Linked DNA regions of Xenopus tropicalis. The protein of the gene in region 4 purifies or fractionates together with the protein of the main gene of each other region. This does not show direct contact. Links are inferred from orthologs where the notes say so. Each region holds a gene or a part of one and is shown on either strand. Other genes may lie near its edges. The genes, in order: hnrnpu, stau1, hnrnpr and ilf2.

Region 1 (5,394 bases), on a different chromosome or scaffold from region 4:
TGATTCAAAAGAAATGCTGAATATTAAACGACTCACAATTTCATTAGTTTACAAAGTTGGTGCAACTACAAGCACACTAGGCAAATAAAGAGGGATGGGGGAAGTGGAGATACAAACACACAGCTAACTTCATATAGATCCCATTGGACAACTAGATTTACAACAAGTTTAGTTTAATAAGAAATAGGCAATACGCCTTTTCTTCGAATCAAAATGCATAACAAACGGAGTAAATGGTGTTGAACCTTCACAAGTCAAAGTCTCTGCGGTTTCCACAGAAAGCAAAATACATTGAACAGCTTTAACATACTACACCCTATGGTTCATGTGAAAGTTTCATAAAGCATTCCTCCAATGCTACAAGCTAGCCTGAAACTCTTAAAATGCCTTATTTATTCCCTATGTGGAGGGTAGAGAGGAAACGGGTTTTTACAAAGTTCCAATCTGTCAACAAGGGCCACTTAGCATGCCAACATTTCAACTGTTGTGTGACAGGATATCCCAGCTAAAAAGCCCCTGGACACTTATGGCATTGCAGTCCTTAATAAAACACACCAGTTACAAAGCAACATCTTTACTTTTGTTATGGTAATAAAAAAGGAAAAAAAAAGTCACATTACAGATAAAAATGAAGAACCCTGAAATACTGACACATTCTTATCGTGCACAATGCTAAGGTTCTTATTCATCGCTTTAAAACTGCAATTAAAATGTACAAAAAAAAAAAATTCAACCCAGAAAGCAACTAAACAAAATAAATGGGAATAACCCAAACAAAAGTAATAAAGAACCCGCAGGCACTTCCTCTTGTGGAATGTTTGTTTTTTGTTTAAAAGTTAGCCTAAAGAAAAACAGTCGACTTCTTGTGAAGGTTTTGAAGAGAAATATGTATCAGTTCATTTTTATTTGGGTATTCAATAATATCCTTGGTGGTACTGCTGGCTCCATGGCTTTTGACCCCAGTATTGCTGCAATTAGAAAAAGGGGTAAATATTAACATGTTAACAAGCTTTTAAGCTTATTTGCCAACAAGAACTGCTTAGGTCATGTGTAACATTTGATTAAGTTTCATCCCACTACTTTAACCTAGGAGCCCAATCCAGACTTAATTCCAAGAAGTTCAAGTAGTAATAAAATTGATCCTATGTAACTTACGGCAAAAGATTTTATAGGAATATGGCCAAAGCTGGAGGCAAATGTCTGTGTGTTAGAGTAGCTCAGTGAAATAAAAAAAAATTAAAAAAAAATATAGGGTGCAAAAAGGGAAAAAAAGTTTGCAAGTCATTAAGCAATTTCAGTGAGAGATACTTACACCCTGCTGCTGCCACTGGTTGTAACCCTGAGACTGATTTTTGAAGCCACGATTATTTCCCCTTCCTCTGAAGTTCTGCAGAGAAAATTCTAGGTCAATAAACTGCAATGCAGAGTTTCTCAATTAAGATATTTAGCAACCAAATTCCCCCCTTGTTTCCTAAAACATGGCACAAAGAAAGATGGGAGGGGACAATTAAAACTTAATATAAAGTTTTACCTGGTTGTAGTTGCCACGGCTGGGCATTCCACCGCCCCCGCCACGGTTGAAGTTTCCACGGTTACCATAGCCACCTCTGTTAGGATAGACTGGTGCACGGGGGTATGGATACCCAACGGCACCACCGCCTCCACCACCACGCTGGGGCATATTTCCTCTTCGGTTGTATCCTCCACGGTTTCCTGGAGCTACAAGATAGTTAGTTATTAAATTTATGCCTAATGGTTTAAAATTTAGCGGTGAGCACAACTTTTCCCTTTTTTGTTAGTTTGCACAGAAGCAGTGGTAAGCGTCATGTTGTAACCCCCACCCTTTCCAGCTACAGTCAGGTGATCCCAATGAGCCAATAAAAGGGCAACCATTTGGGTGTTTTAATGAATCAGATAAAAGCAAGTGTAGGACTGCCCAGACCATGGATGACCGACATAGTTGGCCAGCTGGATGTATATTGCAGTATATGGACAAACAATCCCTGTTGCTTAAAGGGGAGGGCATCTCTCTCTCAAGAGGACCTCTTGTTGTGGTCACAGCTTCACTGAACCCCTGCCTAAATATTTAAGGTGGTTTTGACAAAGGTCAATGAACAAATTCTGAAACTAAGTCATCTTTGATATGTTTGCCTCAGCCCTCTTTACTAAATGTATACAATATTCTGTACAACTACATGGTGCAAACATACCTCCACCCCTGAAATTTCCTCCACGCATATTGTATCCTCCACCTCCCCGGCCTCTGTGTCCATGACCGTGAGACATACCACCTCTGCCTTTGGTATTTTTGTTCTTGTTTGGTTTCTTTGCTCCAATGTTTTGTTTTTTCTCTGGTGGAAGGGACGTCTTACTCTCCTCCTTATACTGCTCAATAAGTTTATCAGCATCTTCCTTTTGCAACTCCACATAACTGATTTCATCAAAGCACTCACTTGCTTCTGGAAGAGTAAAGTTACCTGAGAGGGAAAAAAAAAAATGTGCTCTATCAGGGGCCATCATATTAGCACCATATCAGAATGGTTGTTACAAAGTAAAGTAGAAATTAGAGACCAATAACAAGTTTGTGTCAGATCATAGCATAGAAGCCATAAGCTCTGAAAAACTGCCTTGCGAAGAGGCTCAATGGCGATCAAGAACATGGAAATCTACTTACCTTTCATTTTGAGAACTGCATGTTCTGGAAGATCTTTGCCTTCCACCTCAGATTTTTTCTGTGTTCTCTCTTTATATAACTCGTCTGTTGGGCAAACAACAACTGCTTTGCGTTGGAAGCCAGCAAACAAGCACATTTTCCTTCTCTGTGCAGCTACTGACACATTTGTCTGCAAAAGAGAAAAGAAATGTCAAACAAAAAAATGTTAACTTTAGGAAGGCAAAGCTGGAACACTTTGCACCACTCAACACAAGAAACAAATCAGTTTGATAGTGTATGTACACACACACTACAGCTTAAACCTGATGAAAGGCAGAGGGGCCTTGTATGATTACAAATAGATTTTGCTGTTCTGGTTATTATTAGAAAACTATTAAGGCACCTTAGTAGCCTTATGGCAGGGTGCTCCATTTTGTATAAAGACTCCCTGGTGCTAAGTATTTTGTACAATATATTCCACACCTGTACTTAAAATACTGCATTTAAAGGTTAGAAAGCTCAAGGTGTCTTAATTACTATAGCTTATATTTCAGTTATAAGTTTTATACAAAGTGAGGTAAAATGGACTTATTTCTATTGAAAAAAAAAAAGCCCTGTATGCTGAAAGCAAGGTTTGTTATTGTATTAATAATTATCATATTAACATGTGAAATTATGGATCACTTTAAAGAATTGTTTGCCTTTAAAATATTTTCACTCCCACTGTTTTCTAATAGATCAGAAATAACTTGACATTCTAATACTAAAATTTAAAGTTTCATTTTTCACCTTTTGAATAATTCCTTTACTTATGCAAAAACTTCAGATTTTTTTTAAATTGTTACAATATGCTACATTAGTTAATAACATTTCTAATTACCAACCTCAATTACTGAGGTTCTTCTGAGAAAAGGTTAACTTGTATTTTACTTCTATAGACTATGGTAAGTTTTCTGAAATTTTTACTAGCCAACGGTAAATATACAATTTATTTATATTTAAAAGCATACATGACTAAAATTAATTATATTTTTTATTTAACAAAATATAGAAGACAGCAGGTTTCTAAACAAAGTTTAACAATTGCCTGAAAGCAGAAAACACTGCCGGTCAAGGTATGTCTCTCTAAGGCCCTGTATAAAAATGGCAATATAAATAATATATATATATATATATATATAAAAAAAAAACTTACCTGATCCAAGATAAAATGCCTTTTTTTGCGAGCAGCAATCTCAATAAATTTGCTTAGGCACTGTGGGGCCCTCTGCAGCAAAGCATTTAACTTTCCAGTGTCAGACATTTGCTTTTTGCAGCCAACCTACAAAGAAAAGGGTTTTAAAGTAAAAATGTCAAGAAAAAAAAAAAAAAAAAAAGGTTAACATACCAAAATTATATATTAGGATTCTTACCGTCATCTTTTCCATAATAGTGTTCGTTCCAAGTATGTTGTATTTGCCAGGGTTTTGTTCAGTATGATTAGTTACCCATGTTGTTTTTCCAGCACCTGGCAAGCCAATCATCATTATAACCTTTAAAAAAAAAAAAAACATATTTGCTCTGAATGTAATAAATGTATTTGTATTCTTAATTCTAAAAAAAAGAGCACATATTAAGCATTATGACACGAATAACCATATCACTATACCACACATAAAAACACAAGATAAATTAACCAACAAGAGTTCCAATGAAGTTTAACAGTAACTGTCCTTGGCAAGCGTGTGTATCACTTATCTTCAACCTAGTAAAGATTTTATTATCCAGTATTTAAATAGCACCAACATGATCAGTGTTAATCATGAGCAATTAACCTGCCTGTATGAGTGTGGAAGAAATCCCACACAGAAACAGAGAACATGCAAACATGCCAAGGCCAGATGAACTCAGCACTAGCACAAGGCAGAAGTGCTTGGACACCCTTCTGCCTAATTTGCTTTGAGGAGCACTACAGAGCAGTGATCTTAGAGTATCTGCAACAATAAGCACTGGCTAAATGTCTTTCCAGTTCTCCCACCTATAGTTTACACCCAAAACCAGACAACATGAATTGAAAGATGCAAAAAGAGGGAGAAGAAAAAAAAACTGTTCTCTTCAGTTTACTTTCAAATATACTTACTTCACAATCCTGCTTTTGTTCTGGCCCCAGAGGTGCTCTGACTCTGTCCTCTAAAGGAACGTTCTGAATTAATGTATAGCCTTCAGGGATAGAAAAAAATGGTTCTGCCATTTGCCCAAAGTTGAATTCTACGGCACAGTTGTGGCAGAGAATGTGTGGGAAGAGAGCCTGCTCCAATATGGTATCTTTGTTAATCTTAAAAGCAACTCCAAGGTCTTGGCCATTTTTTGCATAAGAAAGTTCTATTTCATCTTCTTCAAAATTCTGCAACAGAAAAAAACCAGTGAAGATCAAAATTAGTGTCCCCACTTTTAAATGCTAACCCAATCAAAAGCAAGATATTTCATTATACTTTGCCAAATTTAAAAGAACTCCAACTGTAGCACACAAGATGTTTTAATGGGAATTAAACATGAATTACTCACAGCACAGCAAGTGATCACATCATTCTCATCATATTTCTCTCCATAATCCTCAGCAACACCATTGCAACATTTTGCTGCTTTGAGAGAATAACCATAGGAATTTTCCTCCTCCCCTAGTAAAGCAAAAATAAAATTGTATTAGGCTGTTAATGTATTTGTTTTCCAAATTATAATACAGATATGGTAACTTTTGCCAT
Region 2 (3,999 bases), on a different chromosome or scaffold from region 4:
GTGTAGGATTTCTGTCTAACAAACCCAAATGCACCATTACTTTACAACCAATTAGCAATCAGCTTACTCCAAGTTAGAAAGTGAAAGCAGGGATCTGATTGGTTATTGGTGGTTGTACTCGCAAGCCTCTGTCATGAAATCCGCTACCATGGTTTCACGTATACTTTTTGGAAACGTTTCCCTGCCCTGCTGCCATATTTATATCAAATTTTGCCCTCTTCCACCGCTGCTGGGAGAAACAGCCATCTGGTTTCTAGGGTCAACAACCCCCAGCAACTATAAAACTCATAAGTTGTCTTTGCTAATTTTTTTTTTTTTGTTAAATTAAATTACGATTATTCAGACACGGTTTTGTCTGAGGGGGTCAGTGAGTTGATTTCCAAAATTCATAAAAATAGGGAAGATTGCAAACTAAAACTAAACTGTACCGTGAATTTCCCCTTTTTTATATTAACAACAAAAAAAAAAAGATACATTTGGGAGCAAGGGTTCTGCCTATGTAGCCATAAGCACAGCGGCACTGCGAGTTGCTGCAATGGGAAACACTGTGCAAGCGGTGACGAGAGGTCCCCTTACCCAATGTTTAAAAAGCAAGGGGAAGTTTGCAATTATCCAATTGCTTTTTTTTATATATGTTGCCTTTTTGCTTAAGGATAGAAAATGTAAATACTTTCCAATACACATGAAACACCAAGCTTCAGTTGTTCTGAAGTTCTCTAAATATAGGTGCTAGTGAAAGCAGTGTGTGTCTGGCTGTTTATATTCTCTGCTCGGCTGATTCTGACTTTTGACCCAGACCAGCTGAGAAGAACTTCTGCTACAGTGCAGAATGGGACAGAGAAATGCATTATTAGCAATTACATTTGCAAAGAACTTGACAATGGTTTTAAAGAATGTATATTGGAAAGTGGCTTAGAATGGCATTTTTGTTAATTAAGCAAATTGTGCATTGTGTCATTTTGGGTTCATATCCCCTATAAGTCTGGGTAAAGCAGTAGAAGGGCACCCATAGGGCAGAACTACACAGGAGCTTGTCCTCGCGCTGACAGATCACTGTGTGTTTGTATGAGGTGGTTCTACTTTGCCTTTAATATGGTAATTGCTGTGCATGTAGCGTATAATGTAACGCACCACCTCAGGGAAATGTGTGCAGTGGGTGTCGGAAATGGGGAGCACAGAACCGGACACACTCACTAGGTGAGACGCACTATAAAGTGGGGTATTTGGAATAGGGGTGCAAAGAGTTTACTAAATATGGAGGCGCATTACACAGGTATGTTGGTTCAGAGGGCACACTGGATAGGTACAGAGGGGGGCAGCAGCTTTAATGGCACAGTGGGTATGTAGAGAGCAGGAGGCACACAGGGTATGGACAGTACGGGGGGCACAATAAATATGTATGAAGGGAAAAAGCTCATGGGTACGAATACTGTAATAATGCACAGACAGGGGCGGCATCTAAAAAGCATATTGGAACTGTATAACAAGAGACACTGCAGATGGAGGATGTGGGTGCAGGGAGCACAATGGGAGCAAGAACATTGAGAGGGTCTATAGAGGGGCCACTGGGGAAGGATGTGAGGGCAGGGGTGCACTAGGTACAAAGGGCCCAGTGTGCAGGGGTTTGGGCGCTGAGGGCGCAGTGGGCAGGGGTTTGGGCGCTGAGGGCGCAGTGGGCAGGGGTTTGGGCGCTGAGGGCGCGGGTTTGGGTGCTGAGGGCGCAGTGGGCAGGGGTTTGGGCGCTGAGGGCGCAGTGGGCAGGGGTTTGGGCGCAGTGGGCAGGGGTTTGGGCGCTGAGGGCGCAGTGGGCAGGGGTTTGGGCGCTGAGGGCGCAGTGGGCAGGGGTTTGGGCGCTGAGGGCGCAGTGGGCAGGGGTTTGGGCGCTGAGGGCGCAGTGGGCAGGGGTTTGGGCGCTGAGGGCGCAGTGGGCAGGGGTTTGGGCGCTGAGGGCGCAGTGGGCAGGGGTTTGGGCGCTGAGGGCGCAGTGGGCAGGGGTTTGGGCGCTGAGGGCGCAGTGGGCAGGGGTTTGGGCGCTGAGGGCGCAGTGGGCAGGGGTTTGGGCGCTGATGGCGCGGTGGGCAGGGGTTTGGGCGCTGAGGGCACAGTGGGTAGGGGTTTGGGCGCTGAGGGCGCAGTGGGTAGGGGTTTGGGCGCTGAGGGCCCAGTGGGCAGGGGTTTGGGCGCTGAGGGCGCAGTGGGCAGGGGTTTGAGCGCTGAGGGCGCAGTGGGCAGGGGTTTGGGCGCTGAGGGCGCAGTGGGCAGGGGTTTGGGCGCTGAGGGCGCAGTGGGCAGGGGTTTGGGCACTGAGGGCACAGTGGGCAGGGGTTTGGGCGCTGAGGGCACAGTGGGCAGGGATTTGGGCTCAGTGGGCATAGTGAGCAGGTGTATGGGTGCAAAGGGCACAATGGGCAGGAATATGGGTGGAGGGTGAGACAGAGACTGGGGTGGGTACAGAAGAAGTATCCAAGTCGGGGACCAACAATTTCCCAGACGCCCCAGCGCTTTGCAAAGTCCCTGCCCAGTAGGCGCTCCCTCCCCCCTGCCAGTGGGCCTGCTCCCACCCAGCCCCGCTCCCACCCAGCCCCGCTGGCTCACCTTCTCTCTGTCTTCGTCCCTGCTGTGTGCCCGGGAGTGGAAGGGAAGGCGCTCACACCCTAGTCCATGTAGTGAAGCGGGGGCTCGGTACCAGGAGACCGGCGGAAAGAGGAAGGGGGGAGACTCGGACACGGCAAACACTAAAGAGAATGGAGAGCCGGAGATTCCGGAAGTGACGTCACCAGCCGGGCGGAATGGTTTAGGGGCGGGGAATGAAGGAAAGGCGGGGCTATAGTACCGGCTGGTGTGTGTCTGCTTGGCGGAGTGTTTGTGAGATGCGGCAATGGGAATAGGCTTGCGGGGATTAATCGGGTTTAATCGGGTTTAATCATGCTGATTACACTACTGGCACCCCCCCGGGGCTGAGTATCTGTAGTATTTCCCTCTGACATGGCTATGGCTGGGAATCTTACAATCAATGGAGCTGAGAAAGGTGCAAGGTGTGCGCTGGGTCCCACTTGTACCAACCAATCAAAAATGACCTTTTACTTGCCTCCTGTAAAAGCAAACCTTATTGGTTGTTATTGGTTACGGTACCCGGGCGGACTTTGTGCCTTTCCTTGCATGTGAGAGAATGTGTGAAACTTTACTCAGTGGGGGGCTATAGAGAAAATGCCTCCTATTCACAGGGGTTGGGGGACACCTGCTTGGAACTGTGAGAGACCTAGGAGCGATCCTCCAGCTGAGGCTTGCCCAGGCTGCAACTAGCCAAAGGCTTTCACATCAACAAGCACAGGGTTAACTCTGAATGAGCCAATCACCAAGCCCCTGGGCTTCCCATAGATATTTGGGTGGAATTCCAGAGTCCCTTTATGATGCCCTTCCCAAAGGTCCATCTCTCTCTTGTCCTATAATTGCTCCCCAAATCCCCTCATTCTTCAGCCCCAGAAATACCTAGCCCAGGTAAGGAGGACTCTGCAAATGGCTGCATGCTCTTAGGCTGATGCCACACGTGGCGTTTTTACGCTGCGTATTTTCTAATTCTCTCGGCGGCTGAAAAACGCACGATATCATCATCCGTAGAAATAACTTAAACAGTCTCGATGGAAACCACACTATGCGTAAATACCATACAAAACGCCTTAGCACGGATTTTTCAAGCGTTGGCCGAAATACGCCAGTATTTGCACAGCAAGCTATTCCTATGTATACACAAAGGCAGCTGCCAGACCTAGCGGAAATAGGCGGCGTTTTTACTATTTCGCACTATTAGCACCATGGAAACGGGATTTGCTGCGTCACCAGTACTAGGCTGAAAAACGCCATAGTCAGGGGCTGTGTGGCGTTTTTAGGCGGAGAAAATACGCAGCGTAAAAACGCCACTTCTGGCATTAGCCTTAGGGGTAAATGAGCAGCAACACAGCTTCCTGAGCACCCTTGTGACTTGGGCTGTAGAGTTCAGAC
Region 3 (6,070 bases), on a different chromosome or scaffold from region 4:
AAACAAGAATCTCTCAAACTGAAAGATCCTTAAATATGTAATGATTTTTTTCCAGTCACCTGTCTATCTAGATCATTAGGAAGTCTTGAAAGAACCAAGTGCTGGAGGAAACTAACAATCACGAAAAAAAAAAAGTAAAAAATATATTGCATGTGAAAATTGCTTTAGAAGATGGATACAATTAATTTCCACAAGGATCATGGAGTGCACTTTAAGACACAGAAGTAGATTGGATTAGTCACAATTCAAATTTCACTTTAATGCTGTATAAACAATTTAATCTTCAATTTCATCTTTAATGAAATGAGTTTTGAAACACATTTTGGTCAACAAAAATCCTTTACTTTACAAAATTAATTGTACAGCTGAAATTTGGAGGAAGATTCTTGATGTAGATGCTGACACCAATGGTAATAGAAATCCACGGTCAGTAAAGTACTGAGATCTTTGAACTGACATGTTTCCTCTGCTCAGACCTGTTTGAAATATGAATTGAATTTCCATACATATAATACAGTCAGAAATATATTCTAAACACTGCTGTAAATGAGTGATCAAATAGATTTAGAAATCATGAAGTTTTCTCCACCACTCCCTACAAAAGGCTTGTTTCAGGAAGCGGTCAGGCAAATCCATTCAAAAACACAATTAATGTATAAAATATCTAAACACAGGCTTTAAAATTAATTTTTGTATTTTGTCACCATAAAGTTTTAATGGATGGCAAACCTCTTCACAAAATCAAACTGGTAAACAAGTTCAATTTCACACAAGGCTCATTTTGCCTGAAGCAAATGATTTGTATGCAGTTGTTAAAAACATTAAAATGATTAGCTTTAGCTTTTTGCCCCCTGGAGCACAGAAGAAATTAGTCACGAAAATTTTAAAACGACAAATAGTTATTTATTGGCACTTGACATTTTAGGATTTGCTTTTTCCTATTTTTAATACTAGAATGGACACTAGAATCCAGAATCTAGTTGTGACATTTAGAGCAATGACATTCATTTGTCATCCAAGGGAGTTAAGTCTTTCCTGCAGCAAAAAAAAATGTCTGACAATACCCTGTAATGCAGAAGAATGGGGACCACTGTAAGTATATTTTGCAAGCAAAAACTCAGCTTAATCATGGCTTAATAAACATATGTAAAGTGTTTTACAAGGTATTTCCGGACGCTTTATCAACCACAGGAGGAGACACCCTTCTGTGGGCAACAAGCCACTATTGTTGCCTTAAGAATTAAATCCTGGTAATTTTGATCAAATTTTCTTCATGTTAATAGCTAAGAAAATGGTCATCTGCCAAAATCTTAGTATGTGATCATTATATAACAAACAAGGCAATGCTATGAAGATAGGGTGGCAAATAAAATATCCAAAGAAAAAAAGACGTTAGAACCAAACAAAAGGGGGGAAAGCAATCTTTCCATAAAAATGCTGGAAAGAAAAACAACTTTACTTATAGGTGTTAGAATTTTGTAGCAGAGAGTACGATTATATGTACCCTAAAAACTACTACTATTGAAGGTAGCTGAGCACTGTTGGAAACAGGCAGTCTAATGTGTTACTGGATGTAAGTGTGGAGAGATCATCTATATTCTGTAAGCCACACCTTGATACCTTACAATAACTGCTCTACCAGCCTCGCTGATGCATATTGACAGCAAAAGTAACCATATTTTGGTTTTTTAGTGGATACTAGTATACAAACCTTAAGAGGGTTTTATGAGCCAGTTTGTTTTTAACAGAAATTATCAAGAAATGTAGAATTTTTGTCTTCTAAAGTCTGTATATAGTGTAGTCTGGTCTTCTAGACCATTAAAACCATTATTTGTTTTGTGGGTGTGCACAGGGAAAATTCAAAACAGAAAAATTATCAGATTAATCAAACATAAATTACTGGAAAAGCCCATTCTCAATCAATATGTAGATTGAGGTCATATGCATATATGTATATAAAATGTATACAATTTCATCTTTTGCCTTCAAACCACCTAAGAAAATGCACATCAAGATCAAGATAATTTGGCAACCAAGTGTATTTAATTGATTTTACAAATTATTAATTTAAAACCCACTTTCATAGCTTTATATCATGGATTAAGTTTGTAGTTTACAGATTTGATCACTCACATATGCAGTTCAGTCTTTTGGAAGTTTTTGTTGCAAGAATCACAACTCAGTTTTTGCATTTTTGTTTTTTTTGTTTTTTAATGATTCTTTTAACTTCATATATATGTATATTTAGAATTTTTTTGCAATAGGATTTTGTGGAGTTTTATTGAAATTGTACATGAACAATAAATTTGTAAATACAGTCACAGAACAAACGGTCAAGGCTTTTGTTACCCAAGCCAAACTTGTTAGGCATATTTTTTGCCTTCATAAAAAAAAATTAAATAAACACAACTTCACCTAGTTCTAGGAATCCAAAATGCACAGTCATTTAATACATGAATCTTTAAAATATTTTTTTAATTTTTTTTTTTTTTTTTTTTTACTTAAGACAGCACTAGTGTTATATACAGCTTAATCCTGTAGAAGATACTCCAAATCCAAGGGGAAATTGTCAATACTGCATCCTGTCAAAATCATGATTGAACATTGTCCAACAGCATTAAAACCCCTCACATAATAATAAAAAAAAAAGTTTAAAAACCACTAAAAACACTGGTAATCCTTAGTATTCTTGAACTGGGGAGGGGTTGTAACCAATTATTTTAAACAAAATGACTTAATAGCACAAAAAACATTGCAGTCCATGTATAGAAGACAATGCCACAAAGTTACTTCTCTAAATATAAGCAGACAAAAACTTTCTGCACAGGGGTGGAATGGGAAAGAAAAGCCCAAATACAGGATACATGCTCTAGTTAACTGCTGACTTATGCCCATAATACTCTCCAAATCCCCATATCCAGAACACAAGGTTCAGCAATACTTAAAATACCATAACTCTACCAGTGCATTCCATTTGAATACCAACTGTAACAGAGCAATAAAGCAAAAACTAAGGTATATACAGCTTAATGATGAAACACTGCCAATAAAATTAGAGGCAGAGTTCCCAAAGCACAAATATATATATATGAAATATATATTTAAGAGTGGGTGTATGTGTGTTTTGTCTGAAGAATATGACCTTGCCTATTTCCACTGCTGCCCATAAGTATCCTGATAAAACTCCTGGTTGTCATTACTGTAACCATAGTTACCAGTATAATCACCACCTTGCTGCAATGGCTGCTGGGCGATAGGCTGGGTCCCCCAGTTCTGTTGGTTGTTGGTCTGGCGGCGCTTTGAGTCTGGCTGGGTATAACCATCTGCCTTTCTTTTACCACCAACGTTCCCACCTCTGCTGCCACGGCTGCCCCTTGAGTTTCGCCCTCGTGGCTGTTGCTGAGCGGGTCCTCCACGTCCACCACGGGATCCGCGAGGAGGGCCCATTGGAGAACCTCTAGGGGCATAGCTGGAGCGCCCTCCACGCTGGGGAGGAACAGATCTACCTCTGGGGGGCGGTGGTCCACCCCTCCCACCTCTGCCTCCTCTTCCTCGCACAGGGTAGCCATCGTCATAGCCATAGTATGGATCATCATAACCCCCACGGTAGTCATGATAGTCGTATGCATAGTAATCATCATAGTAATCTTCATAGCCATAGTAATCTTGGGGAAAGGAATAGCCCCCTCTGCCTCCACGGCCCCTGCCCCTACCAGGAGGTGGCATTCGAGGTGGAGGGTAATAGTAATAATCGTCATACCTAATGAATGGGGGGGAAAAAAAAGTAGTATTAAAGCATTTTACAAATACATATTCATACCATTTTTAATATATTAACACATTTGAATTCTTATAAGGAGGCTGATTGAAAAAACCAAATGCTGCCTTATGCCCCAAGCAACCTGCCCAACTCAACAAGGGCCAGATGGGCTTATCGGTCATTTAACCCTTGGCCACTGAATGATTTCATCCTGGGAGTCTTGTGGTTTTCTATCCTAAATCAGATATTGTGACTAAATAAAGTCACAATCAGATATTCTTCAGGAAGGCAAAAGTTTTGACTCCATTCACAAGCCAACATGCTGCTAACTAAGCCAAATATGTCCATGTCACCCCCAATATCTGCCCAAGTACAGGCACAATAAAAATCAAAGTTAAGCCTTGGTAAATATAAGTTATAGGAGAAACAGAAAAAAACACAAAAATTAGGTTTAACTGCAGACAGATTGAAAACAATTCTACAAAAGCAAAGTAAAGGCACAAATGAAAATTACACAAGAATTTTTTAATACTGCTATTTGAAAAATCCAAACTGAAAAATTAGGCTCTAGCTTGAGTCTAACGAGATACATTGACATTTGTATTAAAATTATTACTAACAAAAACATAAAAAAAAAAAAACAACAAAAATTGGTGAACTAGCAGTTCATGCCAGCATGAATTTTATAGATTAGTTAAAACATCCAGAGCTTGACCTTTCAGTTGCTTCAGTTGACAATGTTTACTCAAAAATCTCAATATACTCACGAACTTCCCCGGGAAGCCTGACGTGCTGCTTGTCGTTCCTTCCTTTTTTTATCAGGTGGCTTAGCAAGAACTATTTCAATCTCTTCCCCCTCCAGTTCTGTTCCATTCATTTCATCCATGGCCTAAATAAGAAATTAAAAAAAAATTCAAAAAGAAAAAAGTACAAATGAATACTCAAAAGCATGTTCTAAAAGTGTATATAAACAAGAGGTTGGTGGACTAAAGAGTCTGAGGCAGATTTCTTAGCATTCTGATTTTCATAGTTTTTTTTAAACTTATTTCCACAAAACCCAGCTTTCTCAGTTCAACTGACTGGTACGAGAAGACCTCAGAATATAATTTATATGCCGAGGCACTTCCCATAATATTCAATTAAACTGAAGAAGCTCCTCATATGAGAAGTGAAATGTCTTCGGTCATTACAGCAAGTCCAGTTGCTCTAGATCAGTGATCCCCAACCAGTGGCTTGTGAGCAACATGTTGCTCTCCAAACTCCTGGATGTTGCTCCCAGTGGCCTTAAAGCAGGTGCTTATTTATGAAGTCTTGGCTCAGAGGCAAGTTTTGGTTGAATAAAAACCATTAGTACTGCTAAACAGAGTCTCCTGTAGGCTGCCAGTCCACATAGGGGCTACCAAATGGCCAATAACAGTCCTTATTTGGCACCCCCAGAAACATGTTTCATACTTGTGTTGCTCCCCAACTCTTTTTACATTTGAATGTGGCTCACGGGTAAGAAAGGTTGGGGACCCCTGCTCTAGATTTACTTATACCATGACCTAGTTGAATGAAAACCTTCATAGACTTATCTGATTGCAGATCCATTGTAACAAGCTGGTTCTTTCTGAAAGCACAGGATCAGGAATAATGAACTGAGACTACTGCCTACACAGCAGCATAACCTGGGGGGATTGGCAAGGTTACCTCTGTTGTGCCATGGCAACCAAATCAGGAACTCATTAAGCAACAGCAATTCAATTTTATACTTCAAAATAGCATTCATCTTCTCCAAACAGTCTTACCCTTACTGCAGCATCTCTTTCATCAAAGTGTACAAAGGCATAATCCTTCAGCTTTTTCACACGCTCAAGCTTTCCAAAGACAGAGAAAGCTTTTTCCAGGATCTCTTCAGTCACAGTGGAGGAAAGATTTCTTACAAATAGGACTTTGACCTGACAAAGAAACAGCAGTAATTAAGACTGGTACCCAAATTTTGTTCTCTACATTATATGCAAAATCTTGTTAGGAAGCCTACAGCCACTGCAAAGAACTTAAATCAGTGTACTAGCAAGTCTGTATAGGAGCCCTTAGACAAATGTACACTGAAGGAAGGTGAAGGTTTCAGCTTCTCTCACTAATGTAGCAAAGGAATGTTAAAAATGTAACTAGTTTCTCGATGCTTGTTTTGCACACAAAAGCTAAACACACGGGCCTATTTTAATTCCATGTGTAAATTTTACAATATAACTTAAAAACTGTAAACATGGTAATACCAACTATTACTCTGTAAGCCACTTACAACCAATTTACTGAAAGGTTTTCCTG
Region 4 (5,034 bases):
TTGTGATTATTGAAACTTAGCAGTAGCGGCTGCATTTCCCACCCTAGGCTTATACTCGAGTCAATACGTTTTTCCAGTTTTCTTAGGTAAAATCAGGTACCTCGGCTTATATCCCCATCGGCTTATACTCGAGTATATACGGTACCTCGGCTTATATTCCCATCGGTTTATACTCGAGTATATACGGTACCTCGGCTTATATTCCCATCGGTTTATACTCGAGTATATACGGTACCTCGGCTTATATTCCCATCGGCTTATATTCGAGTATATACGGTACCTCGGCTTATATTCCCATCGGCTTATACTCGAGTATATACGGTACCTCGGCTTATATTCCCATCGGCTTATACTCGAGTATATACGGTATCTGGTTGCTAGGGTCCCAATTACCTTAGTAACCAGGGAGCTGTTTGAATGAGAGACGGGTATATGAATAGGGGAGGGGCTGAATAGAAAGATAAGGAATAAAAAGTAACAATAACAATAAAACGGGAGCCTCACAGAGCAATAGGGTTTGGCTGCCGGGGTCAGATATACTGTTGCTAGGGCTCAAATTACCTTAGCAACCAGGGAGTGATTTGAATGAGAGGCGGGTATATGAATAGGGGAGGGGCTGAATAGAAAGAGAAGGAATAAAAAGTAACAATAACAATAAAACTGGAGCCTCACAGAGCAATAGGGTTTGGCTGCCGGGGTCAGTGACCCCCATTTGAAAGCTGCAAAGAGGCAGAAGAATAATTCAAAGACCATAAGAAATAAAGACCAATTGAAAAGTTGCTTAGAATGGGCAATTCTATAACTCACTAAAGGTGACCCTCCCCTTTAAAGGGGAACTGCTACTTACCATAATCACCTAATAGGTGTGTGTGTGTCTTTAAACCTTTTTTGATGCCGATTCAGTAACAAACCCCCCCCCCCGCCGGGCTGGGCAGGAGAGCTGGCAGCCATAGGTTGGGCCAACCCTACAGGGAACAGCAGTTTCTTTCTCCACAAAAGAACAGTAATTGGCTATTGCACATCTAGGAGTAGTATCCCATAGCAATGGGTGGCAACCCATAGCAACCAATCAGTGATTTTTATTTTTTTTTTCAAACAAAATGCAACAAGCTGATCCTTTCCTTTGAGCCGCCATTTTGCGATGGGCTGTGTGCTCCCTCAGAGATCAGCTGACAGGAAGTGATGCAGCTCTAACTGTAACAGGAAGAAGTGTGGGAGCAAAAGGCAGAACTGCCCATTCATTGGCTGATCAAGAGAAGGAAGAAAAAGCTCAAAGGAGGTGTCGAAATAAAAATTTATTGCTGGCAAAAAAAAAAAAAAAATACAATGTATCCCTACAGTATAAAACAAGTCACATGACAAGCTAAGAACGAATGAAAATAAAACAGGAACTCGTGGCATTTGGTCCACAAATAGACCCAATGTGTTCGGCGCCGGCAGAGGGGGATCCAGACCAACTGAAATCTGCAAAAAAAAAGGGGGTGAGTGGCTGCCGCTGGTTCTGAGGGGCGTGGTCATGGGGAAGGGAAAGGGTTAACGTAATTTTGGGAGGAGGATCTTGAATAGGACTTTTATGATGGAGAGTTTGCAATTGGTCTTCATGTTTTATTACTAGTTTAAATGATCTGGTTGCTAGGGTCCAATTTACCTTAGTAACCAGGGAGTGGTTTGAGAGAGTTGCTAATATATGAATAGGGGAGGGGCCGAGTAGAAAGATAAGGAATTTAAAGTGAGTAAGTGTAGTTTTTTTATCTCAATATTTTTTTTAGCAGCTCTGCAGTTTAGCAGCTGTCAGGTTGCTAGGGTCCAAGTTACCTTAGTAACCAGGGAGTGGTTTGAATAAGAGACAGGAATATGAATAGGGGAGGGGCTGAATAGAAAGATAAGGAATAAAAAGTAACAATAACAATAAAACTGGAGCCTCACAGAGCAATAGGGTTTGGCTGCCGGGGTCAGTGACCCCCATTTAAAAAAAACTATAAGAAATAAATAATGAAGACCAATTGAAAAGTTGCTCAGAATTGGCCGTTCTATAACATTAAAAGTAAACTTAGTAAAGTAAAAACCAAACGGAGGAGAGCAGCTCAACAAGAAGCTAAATAACTAAAAAAAAAAAAATAATGAAGACCAATGGCAAATTCTCTCAGAATATAAATGTCTATATCATAGTAAAAGTTAATTTAAAGGGGAAGCAGCCCTTTATTCCCAGACCTACAAAAGCCAAACCAAACGCCCAGTCAGGCCTAAGCCCCTGCCCCCAACAGGCATGGCGGTAGTACATACGGGCCTGTACCTTTAAATAAGTATCACTCCTGTGTCTCCATGCTCTCCTCCTCTTCCGCCCCCTCTGGGATATCCTGGTTCTCATCCTCCTCTCCCTCCTTCCTCTCGGGGGGCTTCTCATAGGCCTTCTCTGAAGGGGTCACGATGACTCCGTCCCAGGTAGACATTTCCGTGGCAAGAGCTGAAGGGAACAAAGAGATTGGTCAGTAAGGAGGGGCTGTTCCAGGAAGGGAGTTGCCCCAATGGGGGGGGGGGGGGGGGGTATATCCGGTGCCCTTACCGCTGGCATCTCCCTCCAGGCCCAATATCTTCCGGAAGCCCCCGTGGGAGAGAATACGGACCAACGTCTGGGCAGTGTAGCAAACCATGTCCTGGGGAAGGGAGAAGGGACTGGGTTAGAAACAGGGAAAGGGGGGGGGGGTATTCCCAAACATGCCTGTACTTGCCCCTTCCCTGCATTGCACTCTAATTCTAAAGCTACACAACCTTATGGTCAGCTGACCCTAAAAAATATTATTCACATTAAAGGACAAGTCAACCCAAAATATAATATAAAACATAAATCTAAGGAACTTTGCAATATACATTCATTACAAATCTGCAACGGTTTCTGACTTATTTGTATGTATATATCTATCTCTAATCCATCTATATCTATATATCTATCTATAATATCCATCTTTAATATCCATCTATAATATCCATCTATAATATCCATCTATAATATCCATCTATAATATCCATCTATAATATCCATCTATCTATAATATCCATCTATCTATCTATAATATCTATCTATCTATAATATCTATCTATCTATCATATCTATCTATCTATCATATCTATCATATCTATCTATCTGTCATATCTATCTATCTATCTATCTATCTTTCATATCTATCTATCTATCATATCTATCTATCTATCTCTATCTATCATATCTATCTATCTCTAATATCTATCTCTATCTATCTATAATATCTATCTATCCATCCAGCTATCTCTATCTCTAATATCTATCTATCTCTATAATATATATCTATATCAATAATTGCTACTAGAAGCAGTGTTTGTCCCTTTCCTATTCCCCCTATCGGACTGAAACAATACAACACAAGGCAGCAGCCTGACAGACCCGACTCGCTGGGGGAGACGGACCTTTGCAACATTGTTCAGCAAATGCTGCTTTCAATAGCAATTACACAAGAACCTTTAAAAGCACTAAAAAGTTTCAATAAATTCACATTAGAAAGTTGATTGGAATCAACTTATTGCTGGGGTTGACTTGTCCTTTAAAGTTTTCGTCTGACATTGACGTTAATATTCCAATTGGTTGACTTTTTTTTTTTTTAAAGTGGGTTTTCAGCTTTTTGTTCGGCAGCCCTCCAGTTTGCAATTTAAGCATCTACCTGGTTGCTGGGGTCTTGTTTACCATAGCAACTAGGCAGTGGTTTAATCGAGAGAATAAGGAGTGGGACTGAATGGAAAGGTAATGAGTAAAAAAGTTCACAGAGCGATTGTTGATTTGACTACACTGACCCCGGCAGCCAAAAAAACTATCAAAAATAATGAAGACCAATTGCAAAGTTGCTAAGAATAGGCCATTCTGTAATATACTAAAACTTAACCCCTTTCACTTGTGCGCATAGGAACAGGCTAGGAGAGTTCTTGCTGCTAGTATAGGGTTCTACATAGCCCTCAGCGGGTACCCACAGGGGTCCCAATCATACTGGCAGGTAGGTGCCCAGCCCCCTACAATGGGTCCCAGGGGCAGAAGTAACCCTTTACCTGCTGCTCCAGAGTCATGACTGTATGAACCCTAAAGTTGCCACTTTCACAGGGGTCAGTGATGCCAACTGAGCCGGGGAGGAAAAGGCCGGCGGCGAGCATCTGTAGGCAGCGTCTGAAAGGGAATCATTAACCAGTAAATAAACCCAATAGGGCTGTTCTGCCCCCAATAAGGGGTAATTATATCTTAGTTGGGATCAAGTACAGGTATTGTTTTATTATTACAGAGAAAAGGGAATCATTTAACCATTAAATAAACCCAATAGGGCTGTTCTGCCCCAATAAGGGGTAATTATATCTTAGTTGGGATCAAGTACAGGTATTGTTTTATTATTACAGAGAAAAGGGAATCATTTAACCATTAAATAAACCCAATAGGGCTGTTCTGCCCCAATAAGGGGTAATTATATCTTAGTTGGGATCAAGTACAGGTACTGTTTTATTATTACAGAGAAAAGGGAATCATTTAACCATTAAATAAACCCAATAGGGCTGTTCTGCCCCAATAAGGGGTAATTATATCTTAGTTGGGATCAAGTACAGGTACTGTTTTATTATTACAGAGAAAAGGGAATCATTTAACCATTAAATAAACCCAATAGGGCTGTTCTGCCCCAATAAGGGGTAATTATATCTTAGTTGGGATCAAGTACAGGTACGGTTTTATTATTACAGAGAAAAAGGAAACCATTTTTAAAAATGTGAATTATTTGATTAAAATGGAGATGGGAGATGACCTTTCCGTAATTCCGAGCTTTCTGGATAAGGGGTCAGATACCTGTACTTACAAAAGCAGAGCTATCAATTAAAAATGATCAACGTGACCTATAGGAAACTTATGTACATTTATATTTAAAAAAAGTATCTCTTTCAGTGTCAGTATCACTTTAAGACCATTAGGAATGCACCGAATCCATTATTTTGGCATTTGGCCGAATCCTTAGTTAAAGATTCGGCCGAATA

Evidence for each region.
Region 1: the proteins of ilf2 (region 4) and hnrnpu fractionate together in Homo sapiens (co-fractionation; 3 studies listed by BioGRID and IntAct, with this or other methods). This does not show direct contact. The link is inferred for Xenopus tropicalis from reciprocal best matches to the Homo sapiens genes ILF2 and HNRNPU.
Region 2: the proteins of ilf2 (region 4) and stau1 purify together in Homo sapiens (affinity purification with mass spectrometry; 3 studies listed by BioGRID). This does not show direct contact. The link is inferred for Xenopus tropicalis from reciprocal best matches to the Homo sapiens genes ILF2 and STAU1.
Region 3: the proteins of ilf2 (region 4) and hnrnpr purify together in Homo sapiens (affinity purification with mass spectrometry; 3 studies listed by BioGRID and IntAct, counting the BioPlex papers as one, with this or other methods). This does not show direct contact. The link is inferred for Xenopus tropicalis from reciprocal best matches to the Homo sapiens genes ILF2 and HNRNPR.

Annotation. Positions count from the first base shown.
Region 1 is NC_030681.2:44,495,747-44,501,140, forward strand, and holds the end of hnrnpu (heterogeneous nuclear ribonucleoprotein U), read right to left. Parts: intron 5,311-5,394; coding exon 5,198-5,310; intron 5,037-5,197; coding exon 4,773-5,036; intron 4,186-4,772; coding exon 4,066-4,185; intron 3,975-4,065; coding exon 3,849-3,974; intron 2,844-3,848; coding exon 2,675-2,843; intron 2,478-2,674; coding exon 2,211-2,477; intron 1,720-2,210; coding exon 1,532-1,719; intron 1,388-1,531; coding exon 1,313-1,387; intron 969-1,312; coding exon 915-968; 3' UTR 157-914; downstream 1-156. UniProt on the Homo sapiens protein: DNA- and RNA-binding protein involved in several cellular processes such as nuclear chromatin organization, telomere-length regulation, transcription, mRNA alternative splicing and stability, Xist-mediated transcriptional silencing and mitotic cell progression.
Region 2 is NC_030686.2:38,141,424-38,145,422, reverse strand, and holds the start of stau1 (double-stranded RNA-binding protein Staufen homolog 1), read right to left. Parts: upstream 2,801-3,999; 5' UTR 2,596-2,800; intron 1-2,595. UniProt on the Homo sapiens protein: Binds double-stranded RNA (regardless of the sequence) and tubulin.
Region 3 is NC_030678.2:82,754,071-82,760,140, forward strand, and holds the end of hnrnpr (heterogeneous nuclear ribonucleoprotein R), read right to left. Parts: intron 5,698-6,070; coding exon 5,548-5,697; intron 4,650-5,547; coding exon 4,528-4,649; intron 3,761-4,527; coding exon 3,148-3,760; 3' UTR 1,279-3,147; downstream 1-1,278. UniProt on the Homo sapiens protein: Component of ribonucleosomes, which are complexes of at least 20 other different heterogeneous nuclear ribonucleoproteins (hnRNP). hnRNP play an important role in processing of precursor mRNA in the nucleus.
Region 4 is NC_030684.2:144,166,827-144,171,860, reverse strand, and holds the end of ilf2 (interleukin enhancer-binding factor 2 homolog), read right to left. Parts: intron 4,187-5,034; coding exon 4,072-4,186; intron 2,655-4,071; coding exon 2,564-2,654; intron 2,465-2,563; coding exon 2,307-2,464; 3' UTR 2,294-2,306; intron 1,465-2,293; 3' UTR 1,281-1,464; downstream 1-1,280. UniProt on the Homo sapiens protein: Chromatin-interacting protein that forms a stable heterodimer with interleukin enhancer-binding factor 3/ILF3 and plays a role in several biological processes including transcription, innate immunity or cell growth.